Linked DNA regions of Canis lupus familiaris. The protein of the gene in region 1 interacts with the protein of each later gene in a pairwise test. Links are inferred from orthologs where the notes say so. Each region holds a gene or a part of one and is shown on either strand. Other genes may lie near its edges.

What was found.
Region 2: the proteins of POLDIP3 (region 1) and ERH interact in a two-hybrid assay, tested with the Homo sapiens proteins (2 studies listed by BioGRID, with this or other methods). The link is inferred for Canis lupus familiaris from reciprocal best matches to the Homo sapiens genes POLDIP3 and ERH.

The regions. Positions count from the first base shown.
Region 1 is NC_049231.1:23,805,936-23,816,693, reverse strand, and holds the start of POLDIP3 (polymerase delta-interacting protein 3), read right to left. Parts: upstream 6,452-10,758; 5' UTR 6,345-6,451; coding exon 6,286-6,344; intron 1-6,285. UniProt on the Homo sapiens protein: Is involved in regulation of translation. Is preferentially associated with CBC-bound spliced mRNA-protein complexes during the pioneer round of mRNA translation. Contributes to enhanced translational efficiency of spliced over nonspliced mRNAs.
Region 2 is NC_049229.1:43,497,399-43,508,220, forward strand, and holds the start of ERH (enhancer of rudimentary homolog), read right to left. Parts: upstream 6,240-10,822; 5' UTR 6,225-6,239; coding exon 6,066-6,224; intron 3,490-6,065; coding exon 3,402-3,489; intron 1-3,401. Other genes in the region: SLC39A9 (zinc transporter ZIP9), read left to right, coding at 7,226-7,321. UniProt on the Homo sapiens protein: May have a role in the cell cycle.

The DNA.
Region 1 (10,758 bases):
GCCCTCAGTTTCATGGTCTGAAAGGCCTTGGCGATGGTGGGGCTATGCTTTGTGGTTGTGCTGAAACCCAGAGCTACTTGAGGGGCCCCTGGAATTTATGGAAGGCACACAAACTTCCTAATCAAGCCCTACCCCCCAGGACCCACTGACAGGTGAGGTAATCCCACTGGTTTGTTTTTTTTAATGTTTCCAGCTCCCTACATCTGTTATTGATGCCCATCAAAGAAAAGCAACAGGCTATCAGTTCAGACCAGAAGTTACTACTGAAGGCCTCCTACTCATAAAATAGGGAAAGATTTTGATCAACATTTACTGTCCAGATCCAGATGAAACCAGCATTGGCAGAAAGCACTCCAGATAAAACTGTTCATCTACTACGCATGGGACCTCTCTGAAGCCAGAGGCCTTGGGTTGGGAAATCAAGTCACCAAAAAGAGTACGGTGAGAAGCACTCCTGCTGTAAGAGGAAGGCTCTGGGGACGCCACAAACTAGACATCTGTACGGCGGTGAGAAGGCTTAGACCCGGCCCAGTGTGCTCAGGAAGAGGTCATGTGAACGACGCCTACTATAGCCCAGAGCTTGCAGCCTCCTGGCTCTCGCAGCTCTGCTGGGGTGCCTCCTGCCCTCAAGAGCATTCCCTCACTTATCCCCTACCAGCTTCCACAGCCCGAGGCACCCTCCTTGGGGCAGTGGAGCCCTGGACACAATGCAGCTGAGGCACTTACTGTGCTGAATCAGGAGGATCTGTTTCCAAGCCCACACCTCCTGCAGGACCAGGAGCCTCTTAGGGGTACACCCTGCATCTTCTCGCCTGGGTCAACCCTGTACCAGGCAGATGAAAAAAAGGCTCGAAGAACTTTCTGGTCCTGAGAGCCCACCAAGTGCCAGGGACCCTACAGGGACCCCAGACATTCTCCTTTCTCTTTCTCCTTTCTCTCCCTGAGAGAATGCGGTTGTTATTCACAGATGACAGGGTCCCGCTGAAGGATGCACTGGACTTCCCTGAAACTAGTTAGAGCACCAAAAATGAAGCATGAGTCAAAAATAAAGACCAGAACTTGAGAGGCGCCTGGGTGGCTTAGTCGGTTGAGCATCTGCCTTTGGCTCAGATCATGATCTCCAGGTCCTGGGATCAAGCCCCACATTGGGCTCCCTGCTCAATAGGAGCCTGTTTCTCCCTCTCCCTTTGCCCCTGATCCTGCTCATGTGTTGTCTCTGTCTCAAATAAATGATAAAATCTTAAAAAAAAAAAAAAAAGACCAGAACTTGAAGAGTTAATGAGGCATACTGTCCCCAGGCTAAGGAAGAGCTTAGGACTCCAGTCACGTCCAGGGCCACAGCACACACTCCAGTAACCAGAGGGTGAGCGCAAACACTTGGGATGGCCCAGTGTGCTCAGTCGGGACCCACACACCAGACCGCTTGTGTGGCAAGAAAGATCACCGAGATGCCTTGTGCTGGTCTTTTGAATCTCTCTGAACAGTACAACAGGTCCATCTGGGAGAGGGAGGGGACGTGGCTGGGGATGGAGGAGCGTGAGTTAAGTTACTTCCCCTCAATTCATGGCATTCAGTTCCCTGGTTACACCAGTTCTTTCAACTCCTTTCATGAACAGCTTTCGGGGCTTCAGTGTTCAGGCTTTTTATAATCACTGCTCCTCCTCTTGCATGAAAAGACGGCTATTCATCCCAGCAGGCAGCAGTGCTGGGTACAAGGCAGGCATTAGTCATCAGGAATTTTTCAAATAAACACTCCTGCTAGGAGTGGGTCTCCAAAACACAGAGTCCATGGTGTTACCCTCCTGTTCCAAGAACTGCGGAGGGCTTCCTAACAAAGCCCAGCCCCTCAGCAGAGCCTCTGGACTGGCCCCAGCTCCTACCTGCAGCCTCACCTCCCACTGTACACTATCTGATGTTCCTGAAACACATTCTGCACTTTGGGCCTCAGTAAATGTTTGGGAGAAGGGTGGGGGAGGTTTGGAGCAAGGCTCTGGCCTGCCCCACCCTGCCACACTGAAACAATGCACCCACCCTGGTTCCAGGGCCCTACTAGGTACTCCATGGGGTTCTGGGAAGGGCGCTGGGGGTGACAGGGCCAATGTCCCCACTGGAACCTCAGTGCTTTCTGCCACACCCCGACCAGAGCTGGCTCTGGACAGATGTCCAGACCAAAGGATCCAGGCCCATAAAGGGGAACCCTGGTTTATTAGTAGAAGGTGGATTTTAATGCATAGGGTCTCTGGGTTAGAATTGTGTGTCCTGAGGTCACCTTTACATGGAGAAAACACGGTTTAGTTCTGTTATGGAGAATCAATCCTGAATTAGGCGCTTTGCAGACACAGAGAAACAGGATAGCATCCCCTTACCCTCCAAGAAAGTCTTGTGCAAATGTTTTGTTTTAGATCCTTTTTTTTTTTTTTTTTTAAGATTTCTACTTTTTTTATTCAGGAGAGAGACACAGAGAGAGAAAGAGGCAGGGACACCGGCAGAGGGAGAAGCAGGCTCCTCGCAAGGAGCTCGATGCAGGACTTGATCCCAGGACTCTGGGATCACGCCCTGAGCGAAGGCAGACAGATGCTCAATTGCTGAGCTACCAGGCGTCCCTTAAATCTATTTCTTCCCCTCCATGTTACATAATAACTAATTTTCCTCCCCTTTGTTTTAGGTCTACATTTCTTTTATCTTATTTCAACAAGCAAACAAGCAATAAGTATTAGGACCAGAGCCCTGGCCTGAACTGAAAAGCTGACCGACCTCCTTCTCCACGGCTCCAAGAACTACCCAGGCAGGGCATCTGGGCCAGAGCTGCTCAGGGCAGCACATGCCCAACCTTTCCACTACAACGGCCTGCCGCCTTTCATGAACATTCTCTAACCAGAAGGTGGCAGTGGACAATTATCTTCCAAGAGCTAAACTAATCAAACCAGGGTGGGCGACTCTGCAAACTTGACCAGCAGCAGCACGCTCATGTTTTAAGGAAAACACCAACAAGAACAGGCCCGCATTGCAGTTGGTGCCGTGAGCTGTCCAGGGGAGACTCCTCCATAGGTCTTGGGCAACCAAAGTCAACAAAGTCAAGCTGTGCATGGTGAGGGACAGCGCCTCACCATGGCTGAGTGAAGTATCACACAAAACTCTTTATTTGCAGGTTAATCAGGGAAATCTTTTTTTTTTTTTTTTTTAAGACTGTATTACTTATTCATGAGAGACACAGAGAGGGGGCAGGGGGCAGGGACACAGGCAGAGGGAGAAGCAGGCTCCATGCAGGGAGCCGGATGTGGGACTCGATCCTGGGTCTCCAGGATCAGGCCCTGGGCTGAAGATGGTGCTAAACTGCTGAGCCACCCAGGCTGCCCCAGGGAAATCTTTTGATAAGATTAATTCAGGACCCTGGTAATAATGGTAATGACCCCTTTCTAGGCTTACAAGGTGTGATGAACACAAAACAGAATGGATGCACTAAAGAACAAGCACATTCCATGACCTGTGGGGAAACACGTTATTTACACTTCCACAGGTTCATTCTTTCCTTTCCTTCTTTTTTTTTTTTTTTTTAAATTCATGAGAGACACAGAGAGAAAGGCAGAGACATAGGTAGAGGGGAGACTAATGTGGGACTTGATCCTGGGACCCTGAGCTGAAGGCAGATGCTCAACCATTGAGCCACCCAGGCGTCCCTACACTTCTACAGGTTCTTGTGCTATTTCCACTAAGAGGAAGAGATAATCACTGGCTCTACTTAAATTATCAAGCACAAAGTTTTTCCTGGGACCTCCATGCAATGCCATCCCACAGTTCCCAGGAAGGAAGAATTCTTCCAGGAAGCATGTAAGACAATATAGTTACTGAAGGAAACGACATTTGTTCACTGCCATTAGCTGAGACCTTTCAGTTTTTGACAGGGATGCCCTAGATGTAGTTCACTGGCTTTGCAAGGTAAAAAAACAAAAACAAAAACAAACAAAAAAAAAGTTTTTAAAAGATTTATTCATTCACGAGAGACACAAAGAGGCAGAGACACAGGAAGAGGGAGAAGCAGGCTCCCCATAGGGATCCTGACTCGGGACTTGATCCCAGGACTCCAGATCATACCCTGAGCCTAAGGCAGATGCTGAGACACTCAGGCGCCCAAAACTGAAGTTTCTACCAGGTTTAATCCAAATACAGCATGTAGGCCAAACTAGCATGTAGACAGCTCTAGTCTCTGCACAATCTCCCAATCCAATCATTGTGTAAGAGCAGAGTAATATTCTCACATATTCTTACACAAAACTGGAAAGTTACTTTATTTAAAAGCCTTCAGTAATGATGATTAGAGCTAACATTAATTGAACACTTAAAACCATCAGATACTTTCAAACTACTTTACATTAGCAATCACCTAATAAATATCTGTATCTTATAAATAAGAGAGATATGGAATGGTTAAGTAACCTAAGATCACGTGGAAAGTGAGAGAAGGGAATCGAAATCTTAGTTTGACTCTAGGGCTTCAACACTAACCTAATGTTCCCCATCAGGGGGAGGGGTTGGGCTTCTCCTCCTTTAAAGGGAAGATCCACAATAATTGCTATCATTTGCTGAACACTTACTACCTGGTGCAAACTTTTTTTTTTTTGGTGCAAACTTTAAAATGTACATTTTTATATTTTCATACCTAATCTTCTCAACAACCTGCCAGAAACCATTACTACAAATGAGGAAACGTCCCAGCTCTGAAGTCATCTTGCCAGGGTGGCACAGAACCCAACAACAGGCCCACCAGGGCACCAGGTCGGCCTGGTGGCTCAGTGCTCGGTCATCCCACGGATCCTCAACCGAATGCCCAACACCAGACTCTGCACACATCGGAGCCAACAAAGTACAGACCCAACAGACAGTACAGACCGTCTGCAGTCAGGAACAGAGGGGGGTGACTGCAGAAAGGGCACGTCCTGGGTAGTTGGTTCATTCAGCAACTGTCCATCAAACTGATGAAACTCAGTCTTAGAAGTGGCCAGAGGACCGAGCACCAATTCCACACCAGTTACCAGCGGGAAGACCTAGGAGAGAGCTACTCAGAGAACAGCTGAGCAAATTAACGGTTCCTGTGTGCCTGTTATGAACCAGAAGCCAGGTGCATAGCTGGCTGGTGAACTACGTACGCGGTGGCGGCAGGTGCAGTGGATGTGTGCAGGGGGCTGGGGGCGGTGGGGATGCACTTGTTAGCCAAGGAGAGGATCTACTTTCTAACCACCGCAGGCGGGAGGTATTAACAAGCATCTGCTCAGTGAATGACTTCCGATCCGAGAAGACCGTGTCTAACATTTTTACAGGCAGTTTACAAGGACATGTGAACTACCGCACGTATGCTGGAGAACTGCTGGCCGCAGTCCCACTTCAAACAGGTGAGAGCTGGAGCTCATTAAAGGCTGGAAATGACGGACCACGTTTAAGGGTCCGGAGCAACTTCCGGGCACCTCATCGCAAATCATCTCCGCACTCGGAGCCACAACAGTCTTCTCCGACAACCATCAAGAAGCTCTAACCTCCGGGCCCACCTGTTTTGTTTTGTTTTTTTTTCTTGCCCAAGCCCGAGGCCAACTCAGCCAGCTCCTAAAAGGCACGCAGCCCCCCAACTTTCAGGGGGACGAACTCTTCGTGGCCTCGGGTTAAGTCCCTCTACGTCTCCCGGCCTCAAGCTCGTCATCTGCAAAACGGGAGAAATACGAATACGGTACGGGGCCGGTACGGCTGCGAAAGGGGGCAAAACGGGACGGTGGTTGCACGAAAGCGCTCGGGGGACGTGAACCGCCGCACGGGCGAGGCGGGGGTTAACGGGGGCGGCGGAGCCGGGGAGCGCGCGCAGGGCCTGCGAGCTGAGGTCTGGGTCGCAGCCTCGCCGGCAGCAGATCGGCGGAGCCTGGGCGGGTCACTTCCCCGCTAAACTTCGGCCGTCCTAACCCCAAGGCGGCGCGGAGACCGAGGAGCAGCGCGGCGCCCAGGGCCAGTCTCCCCCGCGGGCGGACCGGGCGGCCCCGGGAGACCCCGCGAGCCCTCCCCCCTCCCCCCGCCCCGGCCGCCCCGGCCCCCCCGGCCTCCCCGGAGCGACGGCGCTCCCAGCCAGTGTGGACCGCCCGGCGGCCGGGCCCGCGGAGGCGGCGGGGCCGGGCCAATGAGGAGCGCGGCTGCGGCAGGGGGCGGGCGCACACGGCGCTGCGCTTCGCTCCCGGGCCGCTCCCTCCCCCGCCCCGAGCCCCGCTAGGCCACGGGCCCTGAGCACCGGAGGGAGAAAGGGCCGCTCACCGCCCCTTCGTCGCAGCCCCGCGCTTCCGGATGAGCTCGTCCAGGGAGATGTCCGCCATCTTGCGCCGCCGAGCGAACCGCGAGCAGCTGAGACTCCCCCAGCCCTGGAGCCCGCCCCTTCGGCCGCTACGGAGCAACGAGCCGCTTCCGGCGTCCGGCCGACGAACTCTCGCGACAGCTCAAACCAAGACAAGAACCGGAAGGGGCGGGGAGCTCCCCGTGAGCCTTTGCGACGCCAGCTGCTTATCTGCATACGGGGGGGCTCCGAGTACCTACGGTTCCCGGTTCTCCCCAGCGAAGAAATAAAATGGAGAGTGATATAAAAAATTAAATAAGTGAATGAGACGAACTGCGAAGGGCCTGGGCTCTTGGTTTAACGGTCGCTCTGCTACTCACCGTAGGGCTAATGAGAAGGGGATTCATTACCCAGCGAGTAACACGTGTAGCTCTTTATGCCTTAAACTTATGAGTAAGGAAAATAACGATTCGGGGTGACGCCCGAATCCTCACTGCTAATGTGAGACGAATTTTTGAGCGGGTAAAGGTCGCCCCTGAGGTGACCCGCCTACTTTGCGGGATGCCTGGGAGCCGCGATCTGCCCGGCCCCCCCCTACCCTGAAAGAGCAGACGAGCGGCCCGGTCGGCGGGCGGGCGGGCGGGCGGGCGGAGAGGCCTCCAAGTCTTCCTAGCGGGCCGGCGCCCCTGCCTCGCCGGGTCCTCCGCGGGCTCTGGGCTTGGGGGGTTTGTTTTGTTTTTGTATCTTTTTTGTTGTTTTTGAGAGATTTTGTTTATTCCCGAGAGAGGCAGGCACCCATGGGAGCCCTACGCGGGACTGGGTCCCAGGACCCCGGGGATCAGGACCTGAGCCTAGCGAGACGCTCAGCCACGGGCCCCCCCAGGCGTCCCATTTCCGGACGTTTTGCAATTTATGGTGCATGAAAATAAAAGTCGCTTTTCACGTCTGGCCCCGTGAGCCTTAGGCCGATGACCTCGCCCAGTTCTCTGAAACTTTCCCCCGTCATTACAAGGGTTAAGGCCAGCCGCTGCCCGGTGACAACCGCAGCTGCCGGGGTGGCTGCTCACTGGCCGGAGCTGCAGGACCGCCTGGGTCCCGTCCCACCAGCCGCGCTTCCCGGCGGCTTGACTCTCCCCCCGCAAGTCGCTCCGATCTTCCCGATGATCTAGAAAACCGGGCGAATGACCGGTCGTTGGGAGGAGGAAATAGACGTTACAATCCATGGGTGGAATTGCCTGGTCTGTGATGGCAGCCCCAGGCCCCAGCACTGTAAGCTTGGCGCGAGGTACAGGTTTGCTGCATCAATCGATTAAAAAAAAAAAAAAAAAGCACGTAGGGCGCTGTGCTCTGTGAGTTATTACTATTATTAATTTCTAAGTGCATTGATGCCCGCGGAGTTCATGTACTGTTGACAGGCCGCACCGTAGTTAAAAGTCTGGCAGCAGAAGGTGTGCGGGCCAGAGCTGGCAAAGCCAGCGGGGCTGGGCCGGGTCCCACCTCCTCAGCCGTCAGACCTGACCCCGCCAGCCCCTCCCTGCCTCCCTCTCTCCTTCCGTCCCGGAAGTGCAGCGGGGGGGGGGGGGGGGGGGACGACGACGACACAGGGACCAGGTTGGGCCTCAGCACCCTCCCCTCCCCTGGACCGCGCAGGGCAGGTGCAGAAGAACGTGGAAGGGGCCATGGGACCCCAGGGGTTAAAGCCCTGTCACGCCTTAAATGCAATGTAAAAAAAAAAGTGACCTAAAGGTTATTTTTCAAGCTAGTTCAGTGAGGTTATTAGCTGAGGTCAGCTATCATCGAGGTGACCTTCCCTTGGAGGCATTTCATAAGGTGTAGAGCTTTGTAGGGTGCTGATTGTCTGGAGGACGGGGATCTGGAATCCGGTCACGCGGAGGGTGGGGACAGGGATGTGGCGATCCTGAGGCAAGGGCCCTCCCCATGCCTGCGACGTTCCCATGTTCCGGGAGGGACGAAGAGCATCACACTCCCAGGCAGGGCTTCCCTCCATATCTTGTATGGACACGTAGGACTTTTTGCTCAAGGCGAGCAAACGTGGAATTGCTGGGAACGTACTGGGTCCTGCTTTGTTTGGAAATAGACCAAGGATTGTGCCCTGCCTGGGAAAACCGCGTCCCTGTGGGCAGAGACTGGGAGTCGGGCTGCATCTGGGGCTGTGACTGTCCAGGGACCCCTGCCCACCCCCCTTCTGGGGACTTCGGCCACCCTGAAATGTGGTGGTATCCTTTTATAAATTCCTTTCCTTTCTTGCTCTAATATGATTGGAGTTTTATGTTTTTTGTTTGAAGATTTATTTTATATATATATAGAGAGAGAGCACGAGAGTTGGGGGGGGGGCAGAGGGAGGAGACAGAAACACAAGCAGACTGCGCTGAGATGGAGCCAGACACGGGACTCGATCTCATGACCCTGAGATCAGACCTGAGCTGAATCGGGACTTAACTGGCTGAGCCACCCAGGTTCAGGTGCCCCAATTTTTAAAAATTCTATATGCAAGCTCATAATATTACCTGTGAATCCACTTCAAGAGGCTCAAGAGGGTGTTATAAATATTATTTTAAAAGGGTGTCAGGTCTGAGAGGGTGGCAAGTCATGACCTAGTTCACTCACCTGTTATACAGATGGAGAAACTGAGGCGAGGAGAGGGGGGGGGCCCAGGTCCAATCCATGCCCTTCTCAGCTCCCGGGGACAGCCCCTTGTGAGCTCAGGCAGGTGCACCTTCAAAGCCCGACACTCAGGCCTGCTTTCCCATCCTCCAGAAGGGGGTCACGATGAGGAGACGGGACCTGAGCGCAGTGTCTGCAGGGTCCCCAGCACACAGTAGGTGTTCAGAAGGGATTCCCAGGCCAAGCCCTTCCCTGCCCACTGAGGAGTCCCAGCCCTACTCCTGATGTGGGCCAGGGCCAGAAGAGACGGGAAGAGAGGAAAGAGGAGAAAGGGGCTCCCTGGCCTGAGGCTGGGCTTCCAGCATTCCTCCCTGCACACCCCCCCATCCTCTCCTCTTCCCTACTCCGCTCCAGTCACACTGGCCTTCACGATGTTCCTACCAGGTCTCTGCCCCAGGGCCTTTGCACTTGCTGGTCACTCTAGAGCACGTCTACTGTGCTTCCTTTCCAGGCTCATTTCCGCTGTCCCCTCAGTCACCTGCTTTCTTCCATCTGTTTCTCAAAGTTAATTCCCCAAGCTTGTTCCCAAGGCATCTGTACGTGCTGTTCCATCACCTTGAACACCTACCCCAGCAGGGCCAGCTTCGTTGTCTCTTCAGAGAGAACAGCACTCACTCCCACGTTGCCTCGTGGCCTGACTTGTCTTGGCATTTGCTGTTTCACTCATGACACCGTCTGGCACTTGTCTTTCTCACCAGCACCCCAGGAATAGGGGAGGGCGTGTGGGGGCGGCTGCAGCCAAGTCTCCGGCACTTGGAACAGTGCATGAAGGCACGAGGGAGCTAGGGCCCCCTGTGCCGCCTTCCACGGGGAGAGCGGTGCCTGCCTCACCTCATGGCCCAGCTTCCTACCTGAAGGCTAGTCATGGCTGAGCCTCAGGCTCTCCAGCAGAAACCAAGGCCAGTGATTTCTCCCTGGTTTTCAGAGGGGAAAACAGAAAGGAAAACAATGAGGACATACAGAGCTGGACAACACAGGAGCGGAGAGAGCTTTTCACGCGGTGTGAATAAGGCTGGGCGTCAGGGGGCTGGCACCAGGGGAGGACTCCAGGCTGGACTCCCAGAGTCCATACACCCTGGCTCAACTTTCTGTCTCCAGGACTCTAACCTCAAAAAAATCATCGGAGGGGCACCTGGCTGGCTTCAGTTCAGTAGAGCATGTGACTCTTGAAGGTTGTGAATTCAAGCCCAGTGTTGGTGGGGAGCCTACTTAAAAAAAAAAAAGAAATCATCTGAAAGGAGGATGAAGGCCACCACTGTTTACAAAGTCCACAAACTGGAAGCAGCCTAACTGTCCAAGGGTAGGGGATTTGCTATACAATCAATTATGATCCTTGTGGGCTTCTAGAGAATGTGTGACCCCAGGGGAAAGCCCATCTGATGGAGGAAAAGCAGCAGCCCCATGGTGGGCCATGTGGTTTCAACAGAGGCATTTGCCTGTGGATGTACAGTATTTTTTTTCCCCTGTGCATACTTTTCTGTACAGTCCAAAGCTTACACGATGAACACACGAAAAGTGAGTGCTGGGGCCCTTCCTGTCTCTTCTCCCACAATGCCCCAAGTCACAGAGCCTCAAGGAACTGCAAAAGGGTTAGTATTAGCAAAGTTTTATTTCAATGTTTTTTTTTCTGCTCATAAATGATTCTGAAAAAGCCCATATGCAAGAGGCGAACCCACCCTTCTAAAGGCAACATCGAGGTCACTGAGAATGCTGCTCAGACAAAAACTTCCCCTGTGCTGGGGTGCGGGCAGCATGACGGGTGGGTTTGGGAC
Region 2 (10,822 bases), on another chromosome or scaffold:
ATCCCGGGTCTCCAGGATCGCGCCCTGGGCCAAAAGCAGGCGCTAAACCGCTGTGCCACCCAGGGATCCCAGAGTTCATCAAAATTTAAACCTTTGGTGCTTCAAGGACACTATCGAGAAAGTGAAAAGACAAGACACAGACTAGGAGGAAATCTCTGCAAAACATATTATCTGATAAAGAATTAGTATCCAAAACATACAAAGAACTTATAAAACTCAACAATAAAAAAAATAAACACCTCATCTAAAAAGTGGGTTAGGGTTCTGGACACCTTACCAAAGAAAATATACAAATGGCAAATAACTATTATAAAAAGATACACAACATATCATTAGAAAACTACAAATTAAAATGAGTTATCACTATATACCTATCAGAATCACAGAAATCCAGAACACTGACAGCACCAAATGTGGAGAAGAATGTGGAGCAATAGGAATTCTCATTCATTGCTGGTGAGAACACAGAATGGCACAGCCACATCTGAAGACAGTGTGTCAGCTTTTTACAAAGCTAAACACAATCTTACCATATGATGCAATGATCACATTCCTCAGCATTTACCTAAAGGGGTTGAAAACTTAGGCGCACATGAATGTTTGTAGCAGTTTTATTGTAACTGCCAATACGAGAAAGCAATTATGATGTCCTTTGGTGGGTAAATGGATAACCAAACTGTGGTATATCCAAATGATGGATTACTCAGAAATAAAAAGAAATGAGCTAGCTACCAGGCCATGAAGATATGGAAGAACCTTAAAAGGACACTCTTTTGGGACATCTGCATGGTTCAATTGGTTAAGCATATGACTTCAGCTCAAATCTCCATCTTAGGACTCTGAGATCCCCACTCAGTGGGGAATCTGCTGCTCTCTCTCTCTCTCTCTGCCCCTCCCCCTGCTTGTGCCCCTTCTAATACATAAATTAAGATCTTAAAAAACAAAAACAAAAAACCACTGTTTTGTGAAAGAGCCAACCTGAAAAAGCTATATACTACATAATTTCAACTACAGGACATTTTGGAAAAGGTTGACACTATGGAGGCATTTAAAAGACCAGTGGTTGCCAGAGATTTGGGGGGAGGAACAGGTAAAGCACCAGAGATTTTTCAGGGCAGTAAATGGTAGATACTTGTCAGTATTATAAATAAATCAAAACCCGTAAGATGTCCAAAACAAAGACTGAACACTAAAATAAACTATGGCCTTTAATCAATAATGTATCAGTATTGGCTCTATAGTTGTAACTAATGTATCACACTAATATAGAATATAAGTAAGAGAAACTGAAAAGAGGGAGTAGGGAAGAAGGGGTGTGATGGAATTCTCTGTACTTTGAACCAATTTTCCTGTAAGCCTACAACTATCCTAAAAAACTTAATTTAAAAAGACATGGAAGAACCTTAAATGCATATTGCTAAATGAAACAAGACCGTCCAACTCTGACATTCTGAAAAAGGCAAACCTATGGAGGTGGCAAGGAGACCAACAGTTGCCAGGACAGCAGAAGGTGAAGTAGGGATGAATGAACAAGTGCAGCACAGGGATTTTTAGGTAAGTGAAAATTATTCTGTATGATACTGTAACGATGAATATATGTTATGCATCTAGTAAAATCCACAGAACTGTACAACATGAAGGGCCCAATATAAGCTTTAGTTAATAACAGATTTTAGTTAACAGTAGACTTTAGTTAGTAATAATAATGTAGCAATATTGGGTTTACCAGGGCACCTGGGTGGCTCAGTTGGTTAAGCATCTGCCTTCGGCGGCTCAGGTCATGATCTTAGGGTACTGGGATCAAGCCCAAGCTGGGTTCCCTGCTTAGCAGGGTGTCTGCTTCTCCCTCTGCCCCTCTCCCCCTCTCCCCGCTTGTTTGCATGGGCACTCTCTCTCTCACAAATAAATAATCCTTAAAAAAAAAAAAATACTGGTTTCATCAACTGCAACAAACGTACCACATCAACGTTAAGTGTTATTATTATTTTTGTTAAGGTGTTATTAATGGGAGACACTGTGGAGGTGAGGAAAGGGAGTACGTTAGGAACCCTGTATTTTCTGTTCAGTTTTTCTGTAAACCTTGAGCTGCTCTAGAAATAAAGTGTATTAATGAAAAAGAGAAAGTTAGGATTCATTAAAATAGCAAAGGTTGGCAGAGTATTGTGAAATTAAAGACCAAACATAATACAGGTAAGACAATAATGTGCTAAGGCAGAACGTGCACAGAGTCTACCTGAATGGTCAGCAAAGGAAAGGTCCTAAAATGAGGGAAGGACAAGAGCTGCTCTTCTTTGAAAATTAAGAGAATCTACAATCAGGAAGGCATGGTACCAATTACCTAGAAGCTGTCTCTAATTATTACCAGTAGTTTTTTCCCCCCACAGATCTACCCATTGTTGGCTTTATAAGGACAGATTTTAAGGCTAACCCAGTTAGCTCTGGATAATCAACAAATTCAAGGACATGCCCAATTGCAAAAACAGTGACTATAAAATCTTTATAGAAAGAAGTGAAGAACCGGAATCCCTGGGTGGCGCAGCGGTTTAGCCCTGCCTTTGGCCCAGGGCGAGATCCTGGAGACCCGGGATCGAATCCCACGTCAGGCTCCTGGCGCATGGAGCCTACTTCTCCCTCTGCCTATGTCTCTGCCTCTCTCTCTCTCTCTCTCTATCATAAATAAATAATTAAAAAAAAAAAAAAAAAAAAAGAAAGAAGAACGGACAATTTGCTAAAAAGGGTGCAGAATGTGCACAACTGGTTTACTCGATATAATGATTAAATGTAAGGATGAATCCAATTTGTGATGATCCAATCTATGCGCTCTCATCTAATGGTTTACTGAGTAAAGCAGCATTAAGGGCTAATAGTTCCCTTCAGGGTGGTGTCAGCTTATCAAGTACACAATAAATGATACTTATTTGGTTCCATTTGCCTTTATTCTCTGAGCTAATTTTTATCTTCTAACGCTGATGGAGTATACTCAAACCTCAAAAGCTTTTAATGCTTATTTGTTCAATCAGCAGACTAATAGGTTCTGAAGGTATCCCTAGAGCCTGTCTTAACAACTCTATAGTGTTTGAGTCTAACCAGAATACACAAGAACTGTAAGATATTTACATAATGAATAACGGAATATCCACAGAGGGAGGCTTCAGAAGGCCATTCACTGTAATCACGGGAGCTGGATTTAAAAAAAAATACTTGCAGCAGAAGGACAATACCTATAATCAATGTTTCAATTTTCAACAAATACGGTCCCTAGTATCTTCTTCCTTCCTGGCTCAAATTAATAACTTGAGAAATCTGGAGGAAAAACAAGCCTAGTTCCTAAATGAGACATATTCTAATAGTGAAGATCAAGAAAACAAAAATAAAAACTCTTCATTAGTGCTTAAACTCACCTTCCATGCATTCATTCACAGATTCATAGTCAGCGTAAGTTCTGCCTTCTGGCCTCTTGGTAGGCTGTACCAGCAAAATGGTGTGAGACTGCAGGGAGAAAAGGGATTTCAATTTAAGTTTCTAACTCATATTTGAGAAATTCATAGTATGATATAAAATCTCTAGTCATGACACAAATGATCATTGGTTATTAATGCACTATTAATCAGGGTGCTCTTCTTACATTTATGCTTTTGTTCAAGTGTGGTGTCAGATGATGGCTGAACAACTCTGTAAGGTCTCTTCGGACTCCCTGTCCTTAAGGGCTGCTTTCTGCAACTGTTGTACTTACTGCCTCTAAGCATTCAGCATGAGTTACCTTCTACTGTTTTTTCTTCCTTTCTTCCCAACTAGATTATAAACCCACTTAGATTTTCTATCTCCACTGGTCACTTTCTATCTCCAGCCCTATTAAGTGCCTTAAAAAAAAAAAAATTTATTCGTTCATGAGACATACAGAGAGAAAGAGACATAGGCAGAGGGAGAAGCAGGCTCCCTGTGGGGAGCCCGATGTGGGACTTTGACAACCTGAGTCAAAGGCAGCCATTCAACTACTGAGCCACCCAGGTGCCCCTATTAAGTGCTTTAATAAAAATTTAGAAGTAGGCTGAGAAAAAGAGAAATACTATTTATGACTGTAAGTAGTGGATCTATGTTCTTTTTCTATCCTTAGCACAATAACGGAGTCACAGTAGTCGTATCAGTCACTACTATTTAATTTTGTTCTCATTCTGATGAAAATTAAGGGACTAATTTACTTCAAAAAAGTAATGATATGCAAACGGCTATTCAATACGCTACTTTTTACATCTAGTCTTAAAGTGAACTTCTGAGAAAGCTCACTATTTTCAATACTTAGTACTCAAAGACAACGATTAAAAACGAAGAAAAAAAATGACTAAATTTACAAAACTGTAGCTGAAATGGGTATTATTTTTAAGTGGCAGTATTTTGCTTTTAACATTTTAAGACCAGAAAGCTTCCCAAACCAGTTTTGGTCACTTTCTTTTTACTGGAGCTATTTCCAAAGCCGTTTGGTTTTATTAAAAAAAACAAATATGTATGCAAAATACAAGTACACGTAAACAAATACATATATACTTCTCACAACAGAAAAATAAGGTTGCAAAACCTAAGTCAGGAAAAGGTACACAGATATACTTTAATAAAATCCTTATTCTGATTACCAAGCAGATGTAAACCACTTTAATGAATAGTTAATCTGGTCCTACTCTTAAAATTCTTACACATGAACTGAGTCATCCTTCTACTGCTACAGAAATATTACAATACACAGGACTAGGTCATTAGCTTCAGGTGCTTCTGCCAAACTACCAAAAAACCCCACAAAAAATCCCCACCCCTTGAAGCTTGTCTTTAATAAAGCAGAAGTACATACGACGACTGAACCAATAATTGTTTGCTTTATCTACAAATTCGTAGCTCTTAAAGCCACTTGGACTGAGAAGGTATTATCACTGCTATTTGCTCACCCAGAAAGGCTCCGTTGGTATTAACTGCTGTCCCTTCCTCAGATTTGAATCTTACCATTATAACACGTTACCAAAGAGTGACATAAAGGGCAGAGAAAGAAGGGAAACTCAGAGATACAGAGTCTTCCAAAAGTCACACTGCCAATTATGACGAAACAAGAAAGAACTGGAGACCCAGCCTTCCGATTGCTCAGTCGCCTCTGGGAGACCACGTTGGGTCAAACACTTAAAAACACCTCAATTCAGAAAGGTGCAACCTCAGAGAGTTCCTTGTTAACAACAGCTGCGTAACCTGTTAACGTTTAACCCCAGCGATCAGAAAACCGAGGTTGAAGTGCGGAAGAACCACGATTCCTCATAATCCCTGTGGATCACCTTCTTTTTGGCGGAATTAAAAAAAATAATAGTAAATAAAAATGAAATAAAAAAAAAAAAACAAAAACACGAACAAAATACCCACTCACTGCACTACCACCCCGATCCGATTCTAAGGAACCTGGACCCTCAGCTGAGCCCATCTTCTTTTCAGCTTTGAGTCCCAGAGAGAATGAGTAAGAACAGGATTGAGGGCCGGGAGAAACGCCAGATCAGGCCTCTGGGGTCTCGGAAAAGAGGGGAAAGAAACGTTGTATGTCTGTTTGAGGACGGAGCCCAGCAAAACAAAAGGGGATGCCTGAGAAAGCACGCTACAAAGCAAAGACGACCCCTCCCGGCCCACACGCTGGGCGCAGCACACCCCATCTGTCAGCTTCAGGCGCAGGTTTGTCAGACATCCCTCGGCCATTGTTCCCACATCGGGCCAGACTCTGGGGGAAAAGCGCAGCATCCCCACGCAGCTCGCGGGAGGAAGCGCATCCTCCGCACCGCACGCCTCGCCGGACCTCGGCCGCGGGCGCGCAAACGCAGGGCGGACCTGGGCGGACCCGGGCGGACCCGGGCGGACCCGGGCTCCGGGGCCTAGCGCCAGGCCCAGCGGCCCCGCGGCCCCGCGGCGGGAAGGGGAGAGGTCGCGCCACAAGCTGGCGGGCCGGGGAGCTGCACTCTCGCGCTGGATGGGCTGGGGACAAGATGTACACGGCTGGGATCGCCTCAGAGGCCGGGGGATCGGGGAGCCGCCGAGGCCTTTCTCACCATCGCGCCAAACTCTCTCGCCGCAGCCGCTGCCGACACCGCCGCCGCACACGAGCTTAGCCGCAACGCCGCCAACAGCCAATCCCCGCGAGAGGAGCCGCCGGAAGTCGTCAGAAACGCACCGCGAAAGAGCCTTTTGGACCATAGAAGCGAACACATTTCCGGCAGCTAGAGCGGATACCGACTCTGGCTCAGCCATCTTGGATAAGGGCGAGGAGCTAGATACAGGTAATTGCTCCAGAACTGGAAAAATAATCGTTTCTTCTCAAAAAAAAAAATCGTTTCTTCTCGAGACACGGTCTTCCATATTCTCGCCATTAGACGCACGACTAGAGTGAACACAGATATATATGGACTCTGACACCAGACCTCTTTAATTAGCCCTACTCAAAAATGGCGGTAGCCTAAGAATCCCGGGCCATAGGTCGGTTGTAACCCGGAAGTACTCTTCTAAAGGAGGGGGCGGTGAAGCAATCCGGAAGTGGATGTAATGAAGAGGTGCCACTTGGCGGCCATGGCAGCTGTAGTATCGGTGGCTCCGGGTCGAGGCCCAGCGGAGTGGAGTAATATGGGCAGCACCGGGTATAGGGCAGAGACAGCTTTGTATCAGCTTCCCTGCTGAACCCCTAAGCCCATCGTTAGAGACCTGCGGGACTCTTTGCCCGTTCTAGACTCGGAGGAGAGTTTGCCGGGACTGGTGGGCTGGTCCCAGCCTGGGGGAAGACTGCCCCGGGGACGTAGGGGCGCCGGGAGAACGAACAAGTCTGCTCGAGTTTTCCTTTTTCTTGCTGCCATCTGGGACGTTGTCCGTGGAGGAAGTGGGCCCATTGTGCCACCCCTCCGACGATTGAAGAAATCGCTCTTTTGCATACCTTTAACCGTAAACCCCAGGGAATCCAGTGACTGGCATCTGAAAACGCAGGGGCCGGGACCTGAGATTGATGAAAGTTCTCTCTGGTGCTAATATCAGCAAAAAGGGGCTAGTTCCAGGCGCGTTCCAGAGAAAGGGGTTTCTGAACACATCTAGTGGGGAGGACGGACGACCTGGAAAGTCCCCTTGTTCTGTTGGAATCACTATACGCGTTTAAGAACCTAAGGACCCTTTGAGGCCCCTGAAAATTTGCAGTTCTGGTGGCGGTGGGCAAATAAAGGAGGACAGAATGGATGATTTCATCTCCATTAGTCTGCTCTCTCTGGCTATGTTGGTGGGATGTTACGTGGCTGGAATCGTTCCCTTGGCTGTTAATTTCTCTGAGGTAAGAAATTCTCAATTTTCTGTCAGCTTTCAGGATGGCTGGTAGGAAGTAGGGAAAGTTGTAAAGAAAGGGAAGCTGCTTCCCCAACGTATCTCAGAGCTAAAGGTCTTACTAAGAAAGACTGTCTTCTAACAAGATACATAGAGGGGATCCCCGGGTGGCTCAGCGGTTTAGCACCTGCCTTTGGCCCAGGGCAGGATCCTGGGGCCCCGGGATCGAGTCCTGCATGGGGCGCCTTGCATGGAGCCTGCTTCTCCCTCTGCCTGTGTCTCTGCCTCTCTCTCTCTGTGTGTCTCTCATGAATAAATAAATAAAATCTTTAAAAAAATAAAAAAGATACATAGAATTTCATAATAGAAAGGAACCTTATTTTAAGCATCGGAGTCCTTAACGTGGGGTGGGCAGACCCCCTGGAGATCCTGGGGTACTCTGAATCTTGTGAAATTGCATACAAAAATTTAGGGCTCTGTGTATTTTCCTGGAAAGAAGCACCATAACGTTCTTTTGATTCCCAGGGATTCCAAGGAATCAAGGTTCCAGTTGCTCTCAAGAAATGTAAATGGAGACTATTATTTGTCCATATACGTAGAAATCAGTATTACTCCTCATTTGGAGAAAATAAAGCATAGTTTTTGTGGGGGGGAAGGTAGTCTTTTGGATTAGAATCCAAAAGTTTTCCGGCGTTTTGAATTTTTTTGTGTTAGAATGAAGATGAGAAAAATAGATTTTTAAAAAGATTTTATTTATATATTCATGAGAGAGACACAGAGAGAGGCGAAGACACAGGCAGAGGGAGAAGCAGGCTCCCTGTGGGGAGCCCCCTGCAAGACTTGATCACAGGACCCTGTGATCAGGACCTGAGCCAAAGGCAGACAGACGCTCAACCACTGAACCACCCAGGCATCCCTAAATCAGATTGTTCTTAACTCACATTTCCTTTTATTTATTTATTTAATTTTTTTTTTAAAGATTTATTTATTTGTTCATGAGAACACACAAAGAGAGAGAGGCGGAGACACAGGCGGAGGTAGAAGCAGGCTCCACGTAGGGAGCAGGACGTGGGACTTAATCCTGGGACTTCAGGATCATGCCCTGGGCCAAAGGCAGGCGCCAAACCGCTGAGCCACCCAGGGATCCCTCACATTTCCTTTTAAAGAAAGAGGGCACTAGAATGGATATTTGAAGTTGTTTCAGATCTGCTTAGAAATGAATTTTCTGTTAATATGTTTTAACATTTGGGTTAATTTGTTAATTTGTCATTACTCGACCAGCCATTAGTGAGGAAGAAAGATGAAACCATTGTTCAGTGAAAATGCAGATAAGTTCTTCATAAAGAGTTCACAACATGCACAGTGCTCAAAAGATTTAGTGAGGAAAAACTACTACATTCGGAGGGAACAGTATTTCATGAGTATCTTGGGGTTCAGCAGTAAAATAGGCCCAGTTTCACTGCCAGTCCTGAAAGAACTTCGTGAAAGAGCAAGCTGGTAGTCATACCAAAGCTACCCCACAGACTTTTACTTTGTTAGAGTAGCAGAGTATTTATTTTCATTATTATTGATTTGTGTCTATTCCCTCAAGGCAGCAGTTGGCTAGAGCTGAGTATCAGGAGATGGTCACAGCACTCCTTGGCCTTGAAGCCTACTTCACTCATTTGGGCCGCCTGTCCGGGGCTTTGTGAGCCTGCTTTATTCTGACGTGAACCATATTTTCGAATAGCTGCATTAGAATTTAATTGACCTTATTAGCACTGACATTTGTGAGATTTAAGTTGGTTTATATATTTAAAAACTGAGGTAACATTTATCAAAAATTATAGTTAATTCAAATAAATCAGTAAAACTTTTTATTTCTATAAAATGGTTAGAGCTTTTCCAATATCAGTATTTTCTTGAACTGTCTTGATTGATTTTTGTGATATGCAGGTATCTGCTATTTTCTTTTTCACTGAAACGAAATGTGTCCATGTGTGGTGTAACTAACCAAGGCATTAATAATCAGTATGATGTGTCATTTATGGCTATCTGAATTGATGGCCAAGTGGTCTTTTCCAACTGTAGGTCTTTTTTTTTTTTTTTTTTTTTTTTTTTTAAAGATTTTATTTATTTATTCATGATAGTCACAGAGAGAGAGAGAGAGAGAGGCAGAGACACAGGCAGAGGGAGAAGCAGGCTCCATGCACCGGGAGCCCGACGTGGGATCCGATCCCGGGTCTCCAGGATCGCGCCCTGGGCCAAAGGCAGGCGCCAAACCGCTGCGCCACCCAGGGATCCCCCAACTGTAGGTCTTAAAATGCTATAAATCATATTCATAATGTCTGTTTATTATTGCAATAGGAACAGTGCATCGAGCTGTTAGAATAAAAATGAAAGTTACATATAACTTAGACATTTTAGAATTCAACTGTTTTCAGTCTTCTAGAAATTAAACATTTTTTTCTAGACAGATTATACTATTGTAGATTGATGTATCATGAAACTAGTGAGATGATAAATTTGTAAAAAATAAATTTCATTCACGGGGGCAGGGAAGCACAGTTTCTACTCTTAGAAAATAGCTCCCTAGGTTCCTACATTGGCTAAACTACTTTTTAAGGGAATCTGGCTTTTCTTAGGGACTAGGGTTATTATAAATAAAGAGACCAATAAATCTAATTTGTTTTACAGTTCATTTTCATGTAAATGAAAAGATATGCTATTTATTCATGTTCTTAATTTATCTGCTATTCTGTCATTCAGTACTATTTTTTTCCTCAGAATTTCTCAGATCTGGAATAAAAGTTCAAAAAACCATTAATTATGGCAGGATTATTATTTAGAAATGAGCTAAAATTAAGTAACCTGGAAATTGCTGTAGCAGTAGTGCCTACCTGCTGTATCTGACCATCTAAAAGAGGTTTATGTGACATTGATCTCTGTCACTTTTTTCAACATTCCTTGCCCCCAAACTAACTTTCTTGATGCTTTTCTAACTTCTTGCTTTCTGACATAGCGACTTTACCTTTATGCCTAAATGATTTCTAAAACAAAGGAAAAGATATCTGATTCTTGAAAGCACTTAATGAGTAAGTGATTTTCAGGATGCTCTCTTCTTCAAGCATATGGTAAGGAGAAAAAGTAAACTTATGAAGGAGGCCAAAGCATACCTTACATAAAGGAAGTCCCGTGTGGTGAAGGAGTTGGAACCTCTAGGTTGAGCACTATCTTATAATGTTAGATTCAGTTGTTAACGAGCTCCCTTTGGCTCTAAAGGAAAAAGCTGTGTAAGTAGGTTGGGAGCCTACAATTAACATTACCTAGAATTAACCCCGCTTAGCAGGTGCTCTGATTGATGAATGAAGTTAAACTATAAACCATGACCAAAATGGGATTTTAGATTGATTATCTGAGGATTGTTACTTATCTGAGTATGTCTCCTCTTTGCCACAGAGCTGGTAACATGAGCAAGCTGTTTGCACCAGAGCTCTAGGGCAGTGCTCCTTCAACGATCTGATAAATGACT